4 linked regions of the Schizosaccharomyces pombe genome follow. Changing the gene in region 3 together with the main gene of any one other region gives a genetic interaction. Each region holds a gene or a part of one and is shown on either strand. Other genes may lie near its edges. The genes, in order: hus1, rad9, swi3 and pef1.

Region 1 (5,170 bases), on a different chromosome or scaffold from region 3:
CTTAGTTTTATTTTCTCAGTTCCGACTTTTTAATTCTGTAGATTTCATCTACCACTATTTAGTCATTGAAATTGTTACAAATATTCCTCTATATATAATGATTCTGCATTCCTAAAAATGCTAATTAACAAATTACGAAATCCAACGATCTACAAAGTAATGCCATTCCATATTAATATAACAATTGCTGTTCATTCGCTATCATTTTAAAATGATGTTTTCATTAGTTTGCTCATTGATCACATAGCATGTATTTTACCAGCTATTTTCAACGTACTAGTCTACTTGATCTGTTATTGATCAAATGTAAGTGAATTGCTGCTTTTATTGTTATTATAATCAATAAAGTAAGCAAATTTACACTGGGGCACAATCAAACATTGGTATGCAAAGAACATTAATTCGATATACCAATACGATGTCAAAAAAATTGAAGGATCTCCCTGTCAGCTCAACGTTCACATCAAATCTTCCGCCTGATCCACTGGTACCGACCGTACAGGCAATGAAAAAGGCTGATGACAGAATCTTACATGTTCCTCGATTTGTGGAAGGCGGCGGCTTATTTACTTATTTGACTCCATCACTAAAAGCCAATTCTCAATTATTAGCTTATAGCCCTTCGTCCGTGAAGTCATTAGGACTCGAAGAATCTGAAACTCAAACTGAAGCTTTTCAACAGCTTGTTGTCGGTTCTAACGTTGATGTCAATAAGTGTTGTCCTTGGGCGCAATGTTATGGAGGATACCAATTTGGGGATTGGGCAGGTCAGTTGGGTGATGGCCGCGTAGTATCCTTATGCGAACTTACCAACCCGGAAACTGGAAAACGCTTTGAGATTCAAGTCAAAGGCGCAGGAAGAACACCATACTCTCGATTTGCAGATGGAAAGGCTGTTTTAAGATCTAGCATTCGAGAATATTTATGTTGTGAAGCTTTATATGCTCTAGGCATTCCAACAACACAGGCTCTGGCAATTTCCAATCTTGAAGGTGTTGTAGCACAACGTGAGACTGTAGAGCCTTGCGCCGTTGTTTGCCGTATGGCCCCTTCTTGGATCAGAATTGGGACTTTCGATCTCCAGGGGATTAATAATCAAATTGAGTCTTTACGGAAATTAGCCGACTATTGTCTAAATTTCGTTTTAAAAGATGGATTTCATGGTGGAGATACTGGAAATCGCTACGAAAAACTTCTTCGAGATGTTGCATATCGAAATGCTAAAACTGTAGCCAAATGGCAAGCATATGGATTTATGAATGGTGTTTTGAATACTGATAATACCAGTATACTGGGACTATCAATTGATTATGGACCTTTTGGATTTTTAGATGTTTACAACCCATCTTTTACACCTAATCATGACGATGTATTTTTGCGATATTCATATCGCAACCAACCTGATATTATTATTTGGAATTTATCAAAATTAGCATCTGCTTTGGTTGAGTTAATTGGAGCTTGCGACAAAGTTGATGACTTGCAATATATGGAACAACTTCATAACTCTACTGATTTGTTAAAAAAGGCGTTTGCTTATACTTCTGAAGTTTTTGAAAAGATAGTAGAAGAGTATAAAAATATTGTCCAGAATGATTTCTATGATCTTATGTTCAAACGAGTGGGTCTTCCCTCTGACTCATCTAACAAAATTCTGATAACTGATTTGTTACAAATTTTGGAGGATTATGAATTGGATATGCCAAATTGTTTTTCCTTTCTTTCTAGAAACTCTCCCTCTTCAATGGAGAATGAAGAATATGCTGCAAAATTGATGCAAGCATGTATTTGTCTAAACCCGAATAATGAAAGAGTTAGAAATGAATCTGTCAAAGCTTTCACTAATTGGGTTGGTCGATATAGTGAAGCAACGAAAACTCAGGAAGATTCATCCCGATTAGCGAGCATGAAAAAAGTCAACCCACATTTTACTCTTAGAAATTGGGTTCTTGAAGAGGTGATTAAAGAAGCATACATCGGGAAATTTGAGCTTTTTAAAAAAGTGTGTAAAATGGCTGCCTGTCCGTTCGAAGATACTTGGGGGTTTTCCAAGGAAGAAGAGGATTATTTATGCTATAACACTACTCCCTCCAAAAGCCAAATTCAATGTTCCTGCTCTAGCTAGAACCCTTCTTACTTGCCATTTATTTTTTTAATGTAATTTAAAATTTAGGAATAGCTAATCGTATGAAATAAATGATACAACGAATAGGCTCTTGAGTATAATTTTTTTTAGACTCTAAGACTTTTGTAAATCTTTTTAAATTTTATTCATTAATTTTATTCCACTTGCCATTAAAATTTGCATTTGCTTAATAAAGATTGCGATGCAGTTGCTAATGCCCAGTTTGCTATTTCTTAGCTGGCTTTTACGCGTTCGTAGTTTTTTCGACCGAAAATTTATTATTGGTCGACTTTAACCTGCTAAACGCTTGAATAAACAAAATGCCAAAAAATCTCAATCTCATTAGTTAAATCAAAGACTGAAAATGAGATTTAAAACAAGGATTAGCAACTTGTACACGTTGACGCGTAAGTTGGAAAAGATCAGCAGAAAGTTCGTTTACTAATCAAATTTAGGTCTTGTTCAGGCGCTAGATAAAATTGGAAGATTTTGCTGGCTTCGTCTGATGCCTGAAACTGTAAATTTTGTGATAGTGCCAGATTTTAGGATGACTCAAGTTTGGTCGTAAGTGAAGATATTAAGCATTTAACGGTGAAAAAAATCACATTGTGAAACTAATAAAGAAACAGAGTTTTAGAAGTCGTATGATTAACTATCTTTTTCTATTTGATTGCCCTAACTAACGTAAACGGAAAGGAAACAATATTTGAGGACTATGTCGTCCAAAGCAATGCAGACAACGTGATAAATCTAGAAGTTCCTATAGATAATTTCTATAAAGCCTTACGATCAGCGGCCAACGCTAGTGATTCTACTGTTCGTCTATCCAAGAAGAATAACCAGCCATTACTTTCGTTGTCTACCACTTGGAGTGGAAGGGCGTTTGGTTCGAATATTGTGACTCATAATATACCTGTTCGAGTACTATCACAATCATACGTGTCAGTTATTAAGGAACCAACTGCTCCTGAACCAGACTGTCATATATTCCTTCCACAACTGAATTTTCTAAGACACGTCGTGGACAAATACAAGAGTCTTTCAGACCGTATTATAATGTCAGCCAACATGTCAGGCGAATTGCAGTTATCGGTAAACATACCTTCAGCTAGAGTAAGCACAAAATGGAAAGGATTAGAGAATCCAGAGTTAGATCCTAGTCAAGTCGAAGACATCAGTCGACATCCCTCTCAAACAAGGGCACCCGAAGAATTTGTTCACATGAGACTAGACAGCAAGGACTTAGTCAACATGTTAAAAATATCCAGTGTTGCAAAGCGTGTAATAGCGTGTATGTACTATGAGAGAATCCTTTTTATGACCACGAACTAACCTTTTTACATTACAGGTTTCTGTGAAGGACATGCGCTAGTACTTTATGTTTATATAACAGATCCAGAAGATGAACATACGGCTGTTTTAACATACTACATTAGTACCTATGTGGACTAAGGTTACTTCAATTTGTTTATGATTTGATTTAATTAACGAATAATTGTTATGAGTGACTAGCCACATTTTTAATGTACATTAAAATGAAAAGAGATTAATCAACATCTACCATGCTTATACTTATTTTCTCTCTCTTCCTTTATCGATCTTACCGTTCTTTTTTATTTATTTTATACAGTTGTTGTAATCTCGGCAACTCAGTGTTTTACTATTCCGTTGATATCTCTTAAAAGGATAACACCAAAAAGAAATATAATGTTCAAGTCACAGAAAATCTGTTGATAAAATCCATATGTTTTCACGTTTTCAATGAGAGATACATACGATTAAACACAAACGTATGTTTTCAAGCAATTAACTTGAATATGAATAAACCTTGGTTCATCTTTCTTTAATCTTTTAGACAAGCAACTGTTCAGAAATCTATAAAGTCTCAATTGAACATTTAAGTGCTCAATGGGAAATATATACTTAATAAAAATTGAATATTTTAATCGTTTTTTTGAGAAGATATATGCCATTGACTGTAGCTTCTATTAATTTCCGCCTATTCTTTCTTGTACTTTGGAGGCATCGCTATACATTTTACGTAGAAGTGATGAAAATGGCGAGTTCCTCTTTAAAAGTGCGAAAATTTCAGGCTGTCTGTCATCGGAATTGACTATGTTCGATAGTTATTCCTCCTCCGATGCAGTCGGCTACACATGTAAACTGTACCAACATTCAGTACGAAAGGGGCTGAACGTTGTTACCTAGAAAAGTTGGTATCGCAATAGAGGTAACGATAGTGAAAATCCCACAATAACTTAAATATGGAGAGGTATCCGGGGAAATCCGCTACATAAACAACACATATACAGACATATAAATTGACTTAAACGTACCTTCTTTCTATAATAGTTTTACCGTTCCTTAATTGCAAATTCTTTCTTGTTTTCATAGATAGCATTGTTACTATTATTGTTATATATTCAATATAGACTGATAATTAGGATTGTACATTTCGTTTCATTTAGAGAAAAAAAAAAGGAATAATTTTCATGTTTTAAATTACTCATCTTATTCAATTCTTCTTTCTCTTTTCTTATTTGCTTTGATTTGATTCATTCACACAAGAATGCTCGGCACTTCTACTAAATGTTCGAAAAGGGATTGCAACTATGCCAAGGAAAATATCAGTCGGATTATGCCGACAATTGGTCTCGGTTACAAACAGAATTTCGAAAAAAAAACCGCGGATACTCAAAGTTCCTGCAAGTTGCTTCTCGTTGCGTTGTTAGAAAGCTTTTGTAAGCATTCTGATCAAACTCCAGAGCAATCGAAGCAAATGTTTTTATATGTTGCTCATTCGCTTCAAAATTCAGGTATCATAGATTTTGAGTTCTCCGAGGAGCTTGAACCAATTCGTAATGCTTATGCCGATTCTCTTCATAACCTCTTATCTAAAGCTTTTCGGAGTACCTTACCCATGAGCTCTACTAAGGATTCTAAGAAATCGAGGTATTCCAGCCCTGATGGCGTTTTGGCGAAAACTGCTTCCTTCTTGAGCGTATTGAGTGATGGTGGATACGAAGACGATGTGATGAATGTCAA
Region 2 (4,841 bases), on a different chromosome or scaffold from region 3:
TGGCAGGGATGCTAAACCCTCAACCGCAGGGTATGTTATTAACGAAAAATTCCGGGATTCTTACTCACATAAATAGAAAGAGACCCTGAAGCTTTAGAGGACGCATTCTCTGATAGAGAGGACTCTAGCGAAGAAGAAAACGATACCTTAGGGAGAGAACATTATGTTGATGTTAGGTATGTTCAAAATTTTTACTTTTGCGTATTTGAGCTTATACTAATGTTTCATATTTTATAGTGAAAGTAAATTACGCTCAAAACAGGCTCCTCAGTTAGACCCAAAATTTAAAGGAAGAAAAACGTCTCGCCAGGAATTACTTAATAGCGGTTCTTTAAACTCTCAATCTTCATCACCATCTGAAGAAGAAGATTCGGAGGAAGACGAAAATGATGCAGTTTCAGAAGATCACGAAAATTTTTCAAGCTCAGAAGCTTCATCAATTTCTGAGGAAAATGAAGATGACGACCAATCTTCTGCCATTCCTGAAAAAGACATGGATCGTTTAAAAAAGATTATAAATGGAGAGAAAAAGCTATCTGATCAAATTCGTACATCCGCCCTTGAAGACATGAAAAAGGGTTTAGCTTTGAAGGAGCAGATGCGTTTTTACGATAATGTTTTAGATACTAGAATCCGTCTTCAAAAAGGATGTAGTCAACTTCTTTCTTCCAGCAACCAACTTCAAGGTGATAAAGTAGAAGCCCGAGATGGTTTAGTATCTTTTATTCAACACACTTTACAGCTGAGGAAAAACTTACTTATTGACTCTGGAGTGGAAATTCTTGACAGTAGATCAAAAAGAAAAGAGAATCCTGTTAGTCTAGAAGAAATTGCTTTAGAAATGAATAACCTTGACGACTCTTTGAATGAGTGGAAAAATGATACTTTAACCAAATGGCATAATCGGGTTCAAGCAGTGCAAGGGATTTCGCAATCTAACAAATTCAAGGCTCTAAATCAAAGTATTGTTCAACAAATCGAAAATTCTATGATTAACAAGAAAGATTTGGTCGAGCGCACTAGAATTGATTACAGTGACCCTAACAACAAAACTTTCAATCCCGAAATTTACAACGACACGGATTTTTATCAATCATTATTGAAGGATTTCATTAATTCTAGAATGGCAGACTCTACTCGAGATGGCACTGTTCGTTGGATGGCTACAAAAAAGCAAAAACAGAAGAAAGAAAACGTTGATACTAAGGCATCCAAAGGTCGAAAAATAAGGTATCACGTTCATGATAAATTACAAAATTTTATGGCTCCCATTGAAGTGACTGTATGGCCGGATGAACAAACTGAAGATTTGTTTAGTAGTCTGTTGGGTCAACAATTAGATTTATCAGAGACAGCTAATGATACAAATACTTCAAACTTCGTGGAGAAGGATGATGAACTGATCTCTTCCAACGACGGATTTTCTCTCTTCGGTTGAAAATAAGCTTGTGCGTGTTGGATAAGCTTCACTATTTGTCTTTTTTTTAATATACGCAAGCTGTGCTAAACATTTAGGGTGCATGATTATTTTTACTTACAGTATATCTTTTTTCGGTTTTAAAAAGGGCATTCGCGGATTTTGGTTCTATTATAATATATTTCGTTTACAATTATTTAGGTTAATAAAAAAATTTAACATATATATGGTTACATAGATGGTCACAATGTCGGGCAATTACAAGTAATAAAGGGTTATCTTGGGCTGAAGGTTTTAGTTTTTGTGCACTTTAGTATTTTAAGCATAAAAGTATGTACGTTTATATGATGTACAGTTGAACTCTTTCTGCTGCAAATTAAAAGCAGCTATAAGTTTCTTCTTATTACAATTCATTGTGTATATACAGATTATTTTGCGATTGATGTTGGCCATTACACTTTCGTACAAATTTCGGCGCGCGTGTCTATACTAATATAAGTGCGTTAAAGCAGGTGCTAGAAAACACCACATTATAGATTTACCTCTGTATATACCAGTTTCAATTCTGTTTGTCAAAAATTGTCGAGATTTATTTACTTCTATTAGCATGAATTAAGAAATTAATCGTCATATCGACTAGAAACTATCGTTATTCGTTCAGCATTCGTCTACATCAATTCACGTACTGGTATATAAAATGGAATTCACTGTTTCAAATGTTAATCTTCGGGACCTCGCAAGGATCTTTACAAATCTTTCTAGAATCGATGATGCTGTCAACTGGGAAATTAACAAAAATCAGGTGTGTTGGAACTTTTTTCAAACCTTACTAAACATTGAAACTAATTGGTAAAGATAGAGATTACATGTTTAAATTCTTCTAGGTCAGGATTTAGCATGGTGACTTTAAAAAAGGCATTTTTTGACAAGTACATTTTTCAGCCGGATTCCGTCCTGTTGACGGGATTGATGACTCCTACAATACGTATTCGTACGCAAGTCAAGCCCATACTATCTGTGTTTAGAAACAAAATCTTTGATTTCATCCCGACTGTCGTCACTACCAATAGCAAGAACGGTTATGGCAGTGAATCTGCAAGCAGAAAAGATGTGATTGTCGAGAATGTTCAAATCTCAATCTCTACTGGTAGCGAGTGTAGGATTATATTTAAATTCTTATGCAAGCACGGTACGTAGTTTGTCCGTCTTATTATTTTATTTGCTCTACTAACGTTTATTCATCAAGGAGTGATTAAAACATATAAAATATCATATGAACAAACCCAAACTTTACACGCTGTTTTTGATAAATCTCTTAGTCACAATAATTTTCAAATAAACTCAAAAATTCTAAAAGATTTGACTGAACATTTTGGTCAGAGAACGGAAGAGCTTACAATTCAACCACTTCAAGAACGTGTTTTACTTACAAGTTTCACAGAAGAGGTCGTACATAATAGAGATATTTTGAAGCAACCTACCCAAACAACTGTTTCCATTGATGGTAAAGAATTTGAACGCGTCGCACTTAATGAGGGAGTCTCTGTTACCCTTTCTCTACGTGAATTTCGTGCTGCCGTCATTTTAGCAGAGGCATTGGGAAGCTCGATTTGTGCATATTACGGTGTCCCAGGAAAACCGATACTTTTAACTTTTGCAAAAGGGAAAAATTCCGAAATTGAAGCGCAGTTCATTCTTGCAACTGTAGTTGGATCAGATGAACAAGAGGTGTCATCTATGATGGGAAATAGATGGCAGCACAGTTCAACACCAGCTTCTCTGTTCAATTCAGTAGAGCGCAACAACTCATTGACTGCTGTAGCACATAATCCCCCTGGATCTATTGGATGGCAAACTGATGTATGTAATTCGGCTTTAGTACTAAGTACAATAATTTATTAACATTAACTTTATAGCAAAGTGACTCATCCAGAATGTTTAATTCTGCGCTTGACCGAAGCGACGAAACTAATGGCATTAAGGAGCCATCAACCACAAACGATGCTGGTCAATCATTGTTCTTAGATGGTATTCCTAATGAATCCGAGCTTGCTGCTTTTAATAATGATGTGAACGATGATGCCGAATTTGGACCAACGCAAGCTGAACAAAGTTATCATGGCATTTTCTCTCAGGAAGACTAGGAAAATCCTTCTTTGCTATGGTGTGTAAAATTATGAACATTTACAGGTGCTTGTGACAACCTCATAAAACACAGCACTCATATTATATAATGTACAATATTTATCAATAATTTAGTTTTTTTTAACTACAAAATTACCCTCATCATACGATACGTTACATAGTAGTTCTAATAAATCAATAAGATAGTGAATAATGTAACCCAATTAATTAAATTCCAATCCACGGCCTATAAAAAGTCTAATATACATTTTTGCATTTTCATCTGAATGCAAAATTTAAGTCATTACACGAACTCAAAGAAAGTTTTAAACTTGTTTCTTAATCAATTCGTTAATTTCTTCTCCACAATAGCCAGCCTTTCGACCCTCATTAAAATGTTTGACCTTTTTCTCCATCAAACTGTGTTTAACTGGAGTCAAAGTGAATGGCCATAAGAATTTAGTAACTTCCTTAAAATGAGAGCCTACATTGTAAATTTCATGAATGATATCTTCAATGGAAATAACATCATATTTGCCCAAGGCCTCCTCAATTAATGCATTATCAGAGAGAGCAATACGCTGACCATTGATCTTACCAAAGCCACGTTTATAAATGAGTTCACGAACAGAATGTAAATTGGGAATACCATACATAACATAAGGTTCGACGATTCGAAGCATTTGAGCAACGGCTTTATTATTTCGCACAAAAACGGCATTGTTAATTCGAGAAAGGCGTAATAAGCGCAGAACTTTGCGAATTTTAGGAGGCATATTCTTGACTCCGGCAATTCGAATAACGAAAAGAAGTTTTGTTTCATCAGGCACGAAAATGTCTCCTTTATTTTTCGCAGATCGATTTAACCTAATCCGTTCTCTTTCTCGTTGGCGGTAGTTATTAATAAAAGTCTCAGCCCTTTTGAAGGTTTCTTTACGATTTTTCTTCTGGGCCTGGAGTAAAATTAGTAAAATGTTTTTAACAATATATAAAAATTGATGAAGTCAAAGGTTTAAATTTAACCAATACAAAATATATGAATCAGCCGAAAGATGGTATTTTGGAGCAGCATCGTCGAAACTAGCAATCCAAGAGTGAAAGGTTCATCTTTTTCATATAAATATGTATATTATGGATATTTCAAACCTGTAGAACAAGCAATTCACATACCTCTTTTTTGGCAATAGCCTGCTCAACACGTTCTTTCCGAGTACGCTCATTGACCTTGCGCTTTTTTAAAAGCACCTCAGGTTCAAGCATAGTCTGTTGTACAACCGGTGCATCCTCCGCCATTTTATCG
Region 3 (4,288 bases):
AATGAATGATGGTTTCGCGGACGATGAATTGTCCCTTCCCAAAGGTAAAAGAATTGCAATCCATATTTACTAATAATGTGTAGCCACCGTTCAGAAAATGGTTTCCGACATACTTCCAGTGGACTTGACTTTTACGAAGGAAGCTAGAGATTTACTGATAGAGTGCTGTGTGGAGTTCATACATCTTGTTTCTAGTGAAGCTAATGAAATATGCGAAAAGGAGGCAAAAAAAACTATAGCCGCTGAACACATTATTAAAGCTTTAGAGAATTTGGAATTCAAGGAATATATTGCTGAAGCTTTGGAAGTGGCGGCAGAGCATAAAGAACAACAAAAGAATCGTGAGAAGAAAAGTAGCAAATTTGAACAATCCGGTGTATCAAGAGATGAGTTATTGAGACAACAAGAAGAGCTATTAAGCCGAGCCCGTGAGCGTTTTAAAAATCAAAATATTGCTCACGATAATCATACGACAACCGCCATTCCTGTTCCTACCGCATCAGAGACCGAAACAAAAGAAAATTGAGCTAGATGTATTTATGGATATTAAAAATCCGGAATTTGTTTAGAATTTGCTTCTATGGCAAATTATCGTTCATGTCTTAAAGTTACTCTGAAAACTAATCAAGTACATACTGTATCTTTCTTTGAGTTATCACTATTTTTGTCTTCATTTATTTAGAGTTTTTATGATGTGAAATTCATGTATTCAGATTTAATGCTATTCCAAATCTTACATTGCATAATGCGCTATTAAAATTAGCAAAGAAATTGATATCAAAAATCAAAGATTAACAATGTATTGAACGATCATATATCTTTTGATGTCAAAACGCTTATATGGGTATTCATTTTATAAGTATAGTATAGCATTGCTGAAGTATAAGAAGAATATTTACGAATGTGTTTGCAGTATAAGATCTCTCCTCTAATTAAATTACTTTTTTAAAAAAGAGAAATAATAATCTAAAAACTCAATCGTCTCGTGGGGGCTGGATACCCAAACAGTGGTAGCAGCAGCTCTCTTTGAATAGGTGGTTAGTAATCTTCAACAAAAGTTTATTTCAAACTTACCGCTTTATAATCATTGTTACCAGCTGACAAGAATTGATCACCAACATGCAGACAGCGAGAAGGATGGGAAATATTAAAAAAATGCTGAAGGCATAAAACACCCAATTTCTTGTCACCAATATCACACCAAATATCATTTCCACCATTGAAAGCAGTAAAAGGAACTGAGAAATTTCGTATCTGCAACGTTGCTTGTGTCTCCAAAACAGCTTCCTCCAGTTGCTCCCTTCTCAGTTTTTGACCAAGGGAAGGTACAAATCCAACTGATCTTTCTTTACGAACTATTTTTGCATCAATGTTAAGTCCTTGAATGCAAGAACGAAGAGTTTCTTCAGCAGTATCCAAAATTTCGAGAATCTCATCATGAGGCCATGTTTTCATCACGGGAAGCATCCATGAGTCAGCATCCACCCATTGTAAACCATGCAGTGGGTCATAAGCAAATAAGTAATTGCTCTCGCCTCCTAATACATGAAGTTTCCGTTTCTGCCCATCCTTCAAGTCGCTGTCTTCGATTGCCTGCAATAATCCTGAAAATCTATCAGTATACTCCTGGCCAGTACGACTGGGATAGCCAGCAGCAGTAAGAATGATGACATAGATCCCCCTCGAAAGTAACTGAATCAAACGGGATATAACAGGATTGTCAGGAAGCAAAGGCTGCCCATCTTCGTACAGAGTTACATCTCCATCAAAACTGACCATATCCAAGCCATTATCCGCAAGGTAATTCAATTGAGCACCTCCTAATATTGCCCTGACATCGTTAAAACTCGGTGCCACAAAGCTTCGTTTAGCTAGACAAAGCTTTGGTTCCAACGCGTACATAGCTTTCACTAATGGCAAAGGTGTCCAAAATATGGTGATCGATGGAACAAGCATCTTTAACTGGCTATAGGATCCACCTTCTGAAACTATTTGAACTATCAATGAGAAAGGTTAGAAAATTAAAAGAATGAAGGGGAAACTTACTATGAGCCTCAATAAGTTTTTCCACATCTCTTAAAATTACAGCGTAACGCTCAAGCGTTTCCTGCTCTTTTTCGCGCGTTACTAGTTTCTGTGAAGGGGTTCCTGCCTGTAAAACAAAAGGAACTGACAACAAACCTTTAATCCATTCAATAAAATCGTCCTTCCGATGTTGCTTTAACGCATACTCAACACGATATCTAGAAGCCATTGCCTAAACCTTTAATGACAAACACTTATTCAAAAAAAGAAATCTACACGAATGCAAGAAATTTGAAGGAAAGTATGTTAATTGAAAGAGAAAGGGTAAAAGTTGCTTTATTATGCTTTCCGAAACGATTCAAAAATGATTACGTTGAGAATTGTTATACTAGTATTAGCAGCGAGCACTATCACTCAAATACGTCTATCACAATTCCAAAAATTAGCTATAATTTATGAGCATTCTTAACAAAATTTTATAAAAGTATATAGTCCAGGTGTAACATGAGCCTTCTGAACTATTCTTCCTCTACACATTTCTAATCCGCGTTAAATAAGGAATTTTCTTTCATTAGTAAATTATAAACCTTTCTTGCTGCGCAGTTAAATTTGAAAGGTTCTATTCGCTTTTCATTAGCAGTAAAGTCAATAGTACATAGAAAAATTGCTAGATTAACAGAACTTTTGAAGCGAAACAGCAAGCAAATCGATATTTATTGCATTCACTAACTCTCTTTTGCGAAACATACAAGCAAATATATATTTTAAAAAAACACCATAAGAAATGTCTACAGCTGCTTCTGATTCAGGTGTTGAAAAACTCGTCGAGGAAAACAAAAGGGAAGAGGTGAAAAAGAATGAAGAAGAAAAAGAATTTGATTTAGGGTTAGAAGAAAATCCAGATTCTGTAAAAAAACCTCGCAAACGGTTGGCAAAATTTGATGAAGAAAGGTAAGAATTTGGTCGGTTTTCGGAAAATAATTATTGACCACTCGTTTTCCCTATTTAGATTGATTTCTGAAAATGGAATTCCAAAATTAAGGAAAATGATGCGCAAAGTTAAGTTAAAAGGAAAGGGTCATGAGGCAAAAGACTTAAAACAACTATTGGGAATGTATCATATATGGACTCATGAGTTATATCCAAGAGCCACGTTTGATGACTCAATATCGTATCTTAAAACTCTAGGAAAACACAGATCCGTCAAGGTTCGACGTCGTGGTTGGATTAATGAAATTGCTGTTGAAAATGGTTCGGACTCTAATGCTTCATTATTTACTGGTCCATCTTCCAATTCATTAGTGAATTTGACGAGCGGAGATCCATATGTTCAAGATACAGCTGATGATGCTTTTGTCGCCCAAGACAACGATACCCAATTAGAATAGTCACCATTAATGAATGATTGAGATGTTGTTGCAGCTTTGTTTATCAATATTAGTAATCATGATCATTTTTTGGGACTATTTTCAGCTACTTTTATTTGATGTAATGTTTAATTTATTCATTTTGTTTTATTTAAACGAACAATTGTAGCCTCTAACTCCGAAATTCAATAAACTATAGAACATCTAGACAAATGATTTCCATTCTACGAATTGACCAGTAAGCTTTGGATTGTTATTCAAGGCTAGAAAAGAAAGAGCTTTGGCGATGTCCTGAGGAGCCACAAGTTGACCGGATGTTTTAAGTTCTTTGAAAAAATTATGAGTATCTCCACCCATGGCTTCTTTATTGGAATCATTACGGATACTAACTTGCATAGGGGTATCAACAACTCCCGGACGTACTGCCACACTCATTATATCAGGCTCCTCGCTGCCAAGGTTCATGACTAGCATGTTGATGGCGGCCTTTGAGCAACAATATGCAGCCCACGCGGGAAAAACACGAACAGCAGCGCCAGAGGATACAATCACAATAGTACCCTTGGTTTTACGCAAATGCGGGATTGCATACTTCACTGTTTCAACCACACTGAAAAAGTTGATATCAAACAACTTACGCCATTCATTGATATCTGCATCAGCGATTTTGGCTATAGGTTCAAGGACACCTGCATTTAGAATAACCGAGTCCAATTTTCCAAACTTTTTAATAGCAGTTTCGATACTAGCTTTTCCAACCTCCGTAACGTCACCCTTCACGTGAACAAATGAGTCAGGATTTTGAATAAGCAAAGTTTCTAGTTCTGGGGTCAAGGACCTACTAACAGCAATAACCTTGGCCTTCTTCTGTAGAGCTTCTGCAGTAGCCAATCCAA
Region 4 (4,068 bases), on a different chromosome or scaffold from region 3:
CTCTTGTGTCTTTTTATCCACAATGCGCATTTTCAAACAGCTTTATCAAACAACTACTGTAGCTATTTGGATAAAATAGAACACATGTTCTCTTAAATTGGGTTACCTGATTTTTCATGTTTCAATCATGACTAATTTGCGGCCTTTGTTAGCTACATCTATAAACAATCTTAATGATTAGGAAATGGTTAAACGTTTGAACTCGATTGAAAGATATTGAAAAGCTACCAGCGCCCATCTGTATATTCTTCATTTAATTCCTTTCTCAATATCATTTGGTTCATTTATTTAAACAAAAATGCAGAGAAGGTCGAGCTTCTTTATCTAATCCCAGCGATGCAGACGTATTGCTTGCTTCATGGTTATATTCTATACCTCCGCTACCTTGCCGTGATAATGCCGTAATCGTACATTACTATACTCGAAAACTGATTTAAGATTTGTTCTGTTCTAAATTTCCGACTACCGAATGAATTACGACACTCCACCTTGTTTCGTTAATACTACTCCATTACTAACAATTGCGCAAATACTGAAAGCAAACCAGAACCAAGTAGAAAAAATGTCGGTTTACTCATTTTCAGACGTTAGTTTAGTTGCAAAGGCACTTGGTGCATTCGTTAAAGAGAAAAGTGAAGCTTCTATTAAAAGGCATGGCGTGTTCACTTTAGCTCTTAGTGGAGGAAGTTTACCAAAGGTTTTGGCTGAAGGATTGGCTCAACAGAGAGGTATCGAGTTTTCCAAATGGTAAGTTAACAGATATTATATACTTTTGAGTTGTATGGATTCACTGTGGTTTTGTTTAGCTTTGGTTGACGTGAAACACTCTGTCTTAAGGCAATTTATGATTAACAGCTCTATTTAGGGAAGTTTTCTTTGCTGATGAAAGAATTGTTCCTTTAGATGATGAAAACTCAAATTATGCGCTCTGTAAAAAGTTGATTTTTGACAAGTTTGAAGGATTTGACCCTAAAAAAATTCATACCATCAATCCTGAGCTTTTGAAAGAAAATCCTATTGACCCTCAGAATGTTGCTGATGAATATGAAAAACAATTAGTGCATGTGTTTGCAAATAGCTCCACTGTTAAGGTCCCTGTGTTTGATTTACTGCTGTTAGGATGCGGTCCTGATGGCCATACATGTTCTCTATTCCCCGATCACGAGGTACTCCAGGAAGACGTTGCTTGGGTGGCCCCAGTCACTGATTCGCCCAAACCCCCTAAAGACCGCATCACTTTGACTTTACCGGTTGTCACACATGCTCAAGCCATTGCCTTTGTTACCACAGGTGCTGGTAAGAAGGATATTTTGCCTATTGTCATTGAGGATTTTACATCTAAACTTCCAAGTGCGCTGATCACTCGAAACAATTTGACTCGTACAAGCTGGTTTGTGGATGATGAAGCATCAGCCAATCTTGAGAGATCCTCTTTGAAGGTTTTCCCTCAATAGGCAGTTCAATTTAAGCAGGTGGCCTTTAGAATGCTTAATTGCTACATGCTTCGGATTCATTACTTGTTTCTTTAAGGTCTTTCAAGGGAAAGGTTGCAGTTCTCTTTTGTTGTTCGTGAGATTCTTTGCATAAACGCTTTAGATAATGACTTTCAAAATGCTTTCAGTCACTTCCGTGGAATGCTTGATGACCAGTTTTAACACATGTTAGTAGATTAGGAGAGAACTTGTTCCTCAAATCCTCTTTGCATTTGTTGTCTGTTTTTTATTTTAGACTAGCGTATAAAGGTTAGTCTTGTAAACAATGTGTAAGAAGCTAATGCTTTATTAAATTGTTTTATTGCTTCGTTTAGAATCATGTTTAGTTGATTGATATCACTGGCCAAACCCACACTGCAGAAATATGATGTTTTAATGAAGAAATGAATCATTGAAATATATAAACTTAAGCTATCTTGTATCATTTTTTGTTGGTGATAATGTTCTAAAATGTGTTTCATCAACAAGATAAAGTAAACCAATTGTTTTTGAATTGCAGTGATATAGTTTAGCTTCAATTCTTTTATTAAATCATTAATTCATTTTTAAAATTATGCAAAATTACGGCATTTTCTCATACTGCTTATGATAGATTTTAAGCAAAGATGGAAATTTATATCCAAAAACATGCAATTGCTTAAACTCTCCTTTATGTAAGGGTTTATTAATACTTATGTGTTTTCTACAGATGGCAACCTTCTGATTAATTATCATTAGGTTAATTTGTGATAGAAGCTGTAGTGATCTTAATTACAATAGTTTACATTATAGCAAGATGTTCGACATGACTCAATAGACTAAAAATTTTTTTTCTTAGCATATTCTTCAAAACTGTAGGTCTTAAAAACAGTTTTGTTAGCTTAACATCACCTTAAGTCGTTAGTCATCGTAGAGGAGGCACTTGATATTTCCATCGCACAACATGAACTACCAAAGGCTTGAAAAGTTAGGTAAGTATGAGTTTGAGGTCCCAAAATTTGCAATTTCATTAACTTAAGTAGGAGAGGGAACATATGCGCATGTTTATAAGGGGCAAAATCGAGTGACTGGTGAAATTGTCGCTCTCAAAGTTATTCGTATTGATGCAGATGAAGGAACACCTAGTACTGCTATCCGTGAGATTAGTCTTATGAAGGAGCTTAGGCATCCCAATATTATGTCTCTCTCAGACGTTTTGCAAACCGAAAATAAGCTTATGCTCGTTTTTGAATATATGGAAAAAGATTTGAAAAAGTACATGGACACTTATGGGAACCAAGGAGCTCTTCCACCTTCTCAAGTAAAAAATTTTACTCAACAATTACTCAAAGGGATATCTTTTTGTCACGAAAACCGAGTTCTACATCGTGATCTGAAACCTCAAAATTTGCTTATCAACAGTCGTGGTGAATTGAAATTGGCGGATTTTGGGTTAGCCCGTTCAATTGGAATTCCAGTGAATACTTTTTCAAACGAAGTGGTCACCTTATGGTATCGTGCTCCTGACGTTCTTTTGGGTTCTCGAGTATATTCAACTTCCATTGATATTTGGTCAGTTGGTTGTATCATGGCAGAAATGGCTACAGGACGTCCTCTATTTGCTGGGTCAAATAATGAGGATCAGCTACTAAAAATCTTCCGATTATTGGGAACTCCTACTGAACAATCATGGCCCGGAATTTCTTTACTTCCTGAATATAAGCCTACTTTCCCTATTTATAAAGCACAAGATCTCGCCTACCTATTTCCAACATTTGATCCTCTTGGTTTGGATTTGTTACGACGGATGCTTCGTCTACAACCTGAATTAAGGACGACCGGCCAGGATGCGCTTCAACATGCTTGGTTTTTAACCGCATAGGCTGTAAATTAACATCAAAAAGTTTAACCAAATTACGATTTTATTTATTCATTTCAGTTTCCTATTGAAATCATTAATTTTTTTTTTGGAAAGAATGCATTTCACCTAGGGAAAGAGCACAATATTTTTGGACGTTCAAATTTCTTCGCAACTGTTTTAGCCCAAGTAGCTATCCCTATTGATCTTTTTTAAACGAGGTTTAGAGGTAAATATTTGGTTATTATTTTGAGAGGATTTGAAGCTGTCGAATATATTTTTAGCCAAGAATTAAACGGCGTTTTATTTTCTACGATTAAAATATCGTCGCTGATGACATTCAAGTCGTAAATGAAATACTTAAAGAATTGAATGATCCGCATTGCGTCTGACATTTTTATGAAGGAGCAAAAGGATAATATTCAAAAAGCAATGCGGGTTTTTAGTATACTGATAATAATTTGCGGATTTCAAGCAATTATCCGCAATGCACATGAAAAACAATCTTTTTTCACTTATTTTTATTAGTGGATTAATGGCTTCCTTCCCTATTATTTAACTGCATGAAGGGATTCTCTATTAATGTTCTCTTTAACCATTCGACATTTTATGTGGTTTCTGTCGTTCATTATTCTTTTTATTTACTTTCATCTATACTCCATCTTTTCAGTTTTGAGGCATCAATGGTAGGAGGTGACTAAATTTCTTTGAGTTTCGTTTAGGAAGAAGGTTCAATTTGTAAACATGAAATAATAATTG

The links.
Region 1: mutations in swi3 (region 3) and hus1 impair growth when combined (synthetic growth defect), as found in Schizosaccharomyces pombe (2 studies listed by BioGRID, with this or other methods).
Region 2: mutations in swi3 (region 3) and rad9 impair growth when combined (synthetic growth defect), as found in Schizosaccharomyces pombe (2 studies listed by BioGRID, with this or other methods).
Region 4: mutations in swi3 (region 3) and pef1 impair growth when combined (synthetic growth defect), as found in Schizosaccharomyces pombe (2 studies listed by BioGRID, with this or other methods).

What each region holds. Positions count from the first base shown.
Region 1 is NC_003424.3:4,819,898-4,825,067, reverse strand, and holds hus1 (checkpoint clamp complex protein Hus1), read left to right. Parts: upstream 1-2,364; 5' UTR 2,365-2,489; coding exon 2,490-2,532; exon of another isoform or gene 2,533-2,580; coding exon 2,581-2,689; exon of another isoform or gene 2,690-2,754; coding exon 2,755-2,767; exon of another isoform or gene 2,768-2,821; coding exon 2,822-3,416; exon of another isoform or gene 3,417-3,473; coding exon 3,474-3,577; 3' UTR 3,578-4,081; downstream 4,082-5,170. Other genes in the region: fmp40 (adenylyltransferase), read left to right, coding at 419-2,125; eIF2 alpha kinase Hri1, read left to right, coding at 4,695-5,170. UniProt on the Schizosaccharomyces pombe protein: Essential in controlling the S-M checkpoint that couples mitosis to the completion of DNA replication. It is also required for the response to DNA damage.
Region 2 is NC_003424.3:1,712,810-1,717,650, reverse strand, and holds rad9 (checkpoint clamp complex protein Rad9), read left to right. Parts: upstream 1-1,934; 5' UTR 1,935-2,114; coding exon 2,115-2,219; exon of another isoform or gene 2,220-2,272; coding exon 2,273-2,606; exon of another isoform or gene 2,607-2,663; coding exon 2,664-3,277; exon of another isoform or gene 3,278-3,333; coding exon 3,334-3,561; 3' UTR 3,562-3,731; downstream 3,732-4,841. Other genes in the region: bfr2 (traub family ribosome biogenesis protein), read left to right, coding at 1-30, 77-176, 238-1,438; ribosome biogenesis protein rlp7, read right to left, coding at 3,868-4,494, 4,712-4,834. UniProt on the Schizosaccharomyces pombe protein: Acts in DNA repair and mutagenesis. Involved in promoting resistance to ionizing radiation and UV light, as well as regulating cell cycle progression after irradiation. Repressor of entry into mitosis that is activated by chromosome breaks.
Region 3 is NC_003423.3:3,090,049-3,094,336, reverse strand, and holds swi3 (replication fork protection complex subunit Swi3), read left to right. Parts: upstream 1-2,480; 5' UTR 2,481-2,809; coding exon 2,810-2,976; exon of another isoform or gene 2,977-3,034; coding exon 3,035-3,413; 3' UTR 3,414-3,478; downstream 3,479-4,288. Other genes in the region: ncb2 (transcription corepressor), read left to right, coding at 2-44, 84-526; isn1 (IMP 5'-nucleotidase), read right to left, coding at 938-1,024, 1,075-1,997, 2,047-2,254; SPOM_SPBC30D10.05C (sepiapterin reductase), read right to left, coding at 3,597-4,288. UniProt on the Schizosaccharomyces pombe protein: Forms a fork protection complex (FPC) with swi1. FPC coordinates leading and lagging strand synthesis and moves with the replication fork. It is required for programmed fork-pausing which is necessary for mating-type switching.
Region 4 is NC_003421.2:685,339-689,406, forward strand, and holds pef1 (cyclin-dependent protein kinase Pho85/PhoA-like Pef1), read left to right. Parts: upstream 1-2,396; 5' UTR 2,397-2,415; coding exon 2,416-2,443; exon of another isoform or gene 2,444-2,494; coding exon 2,495-3,333; downstream 3,334-4,068. Other genes in the region: pgl1 (6-phosphogluconolactonase), read left to right, coding at 563-747, 866-1,454.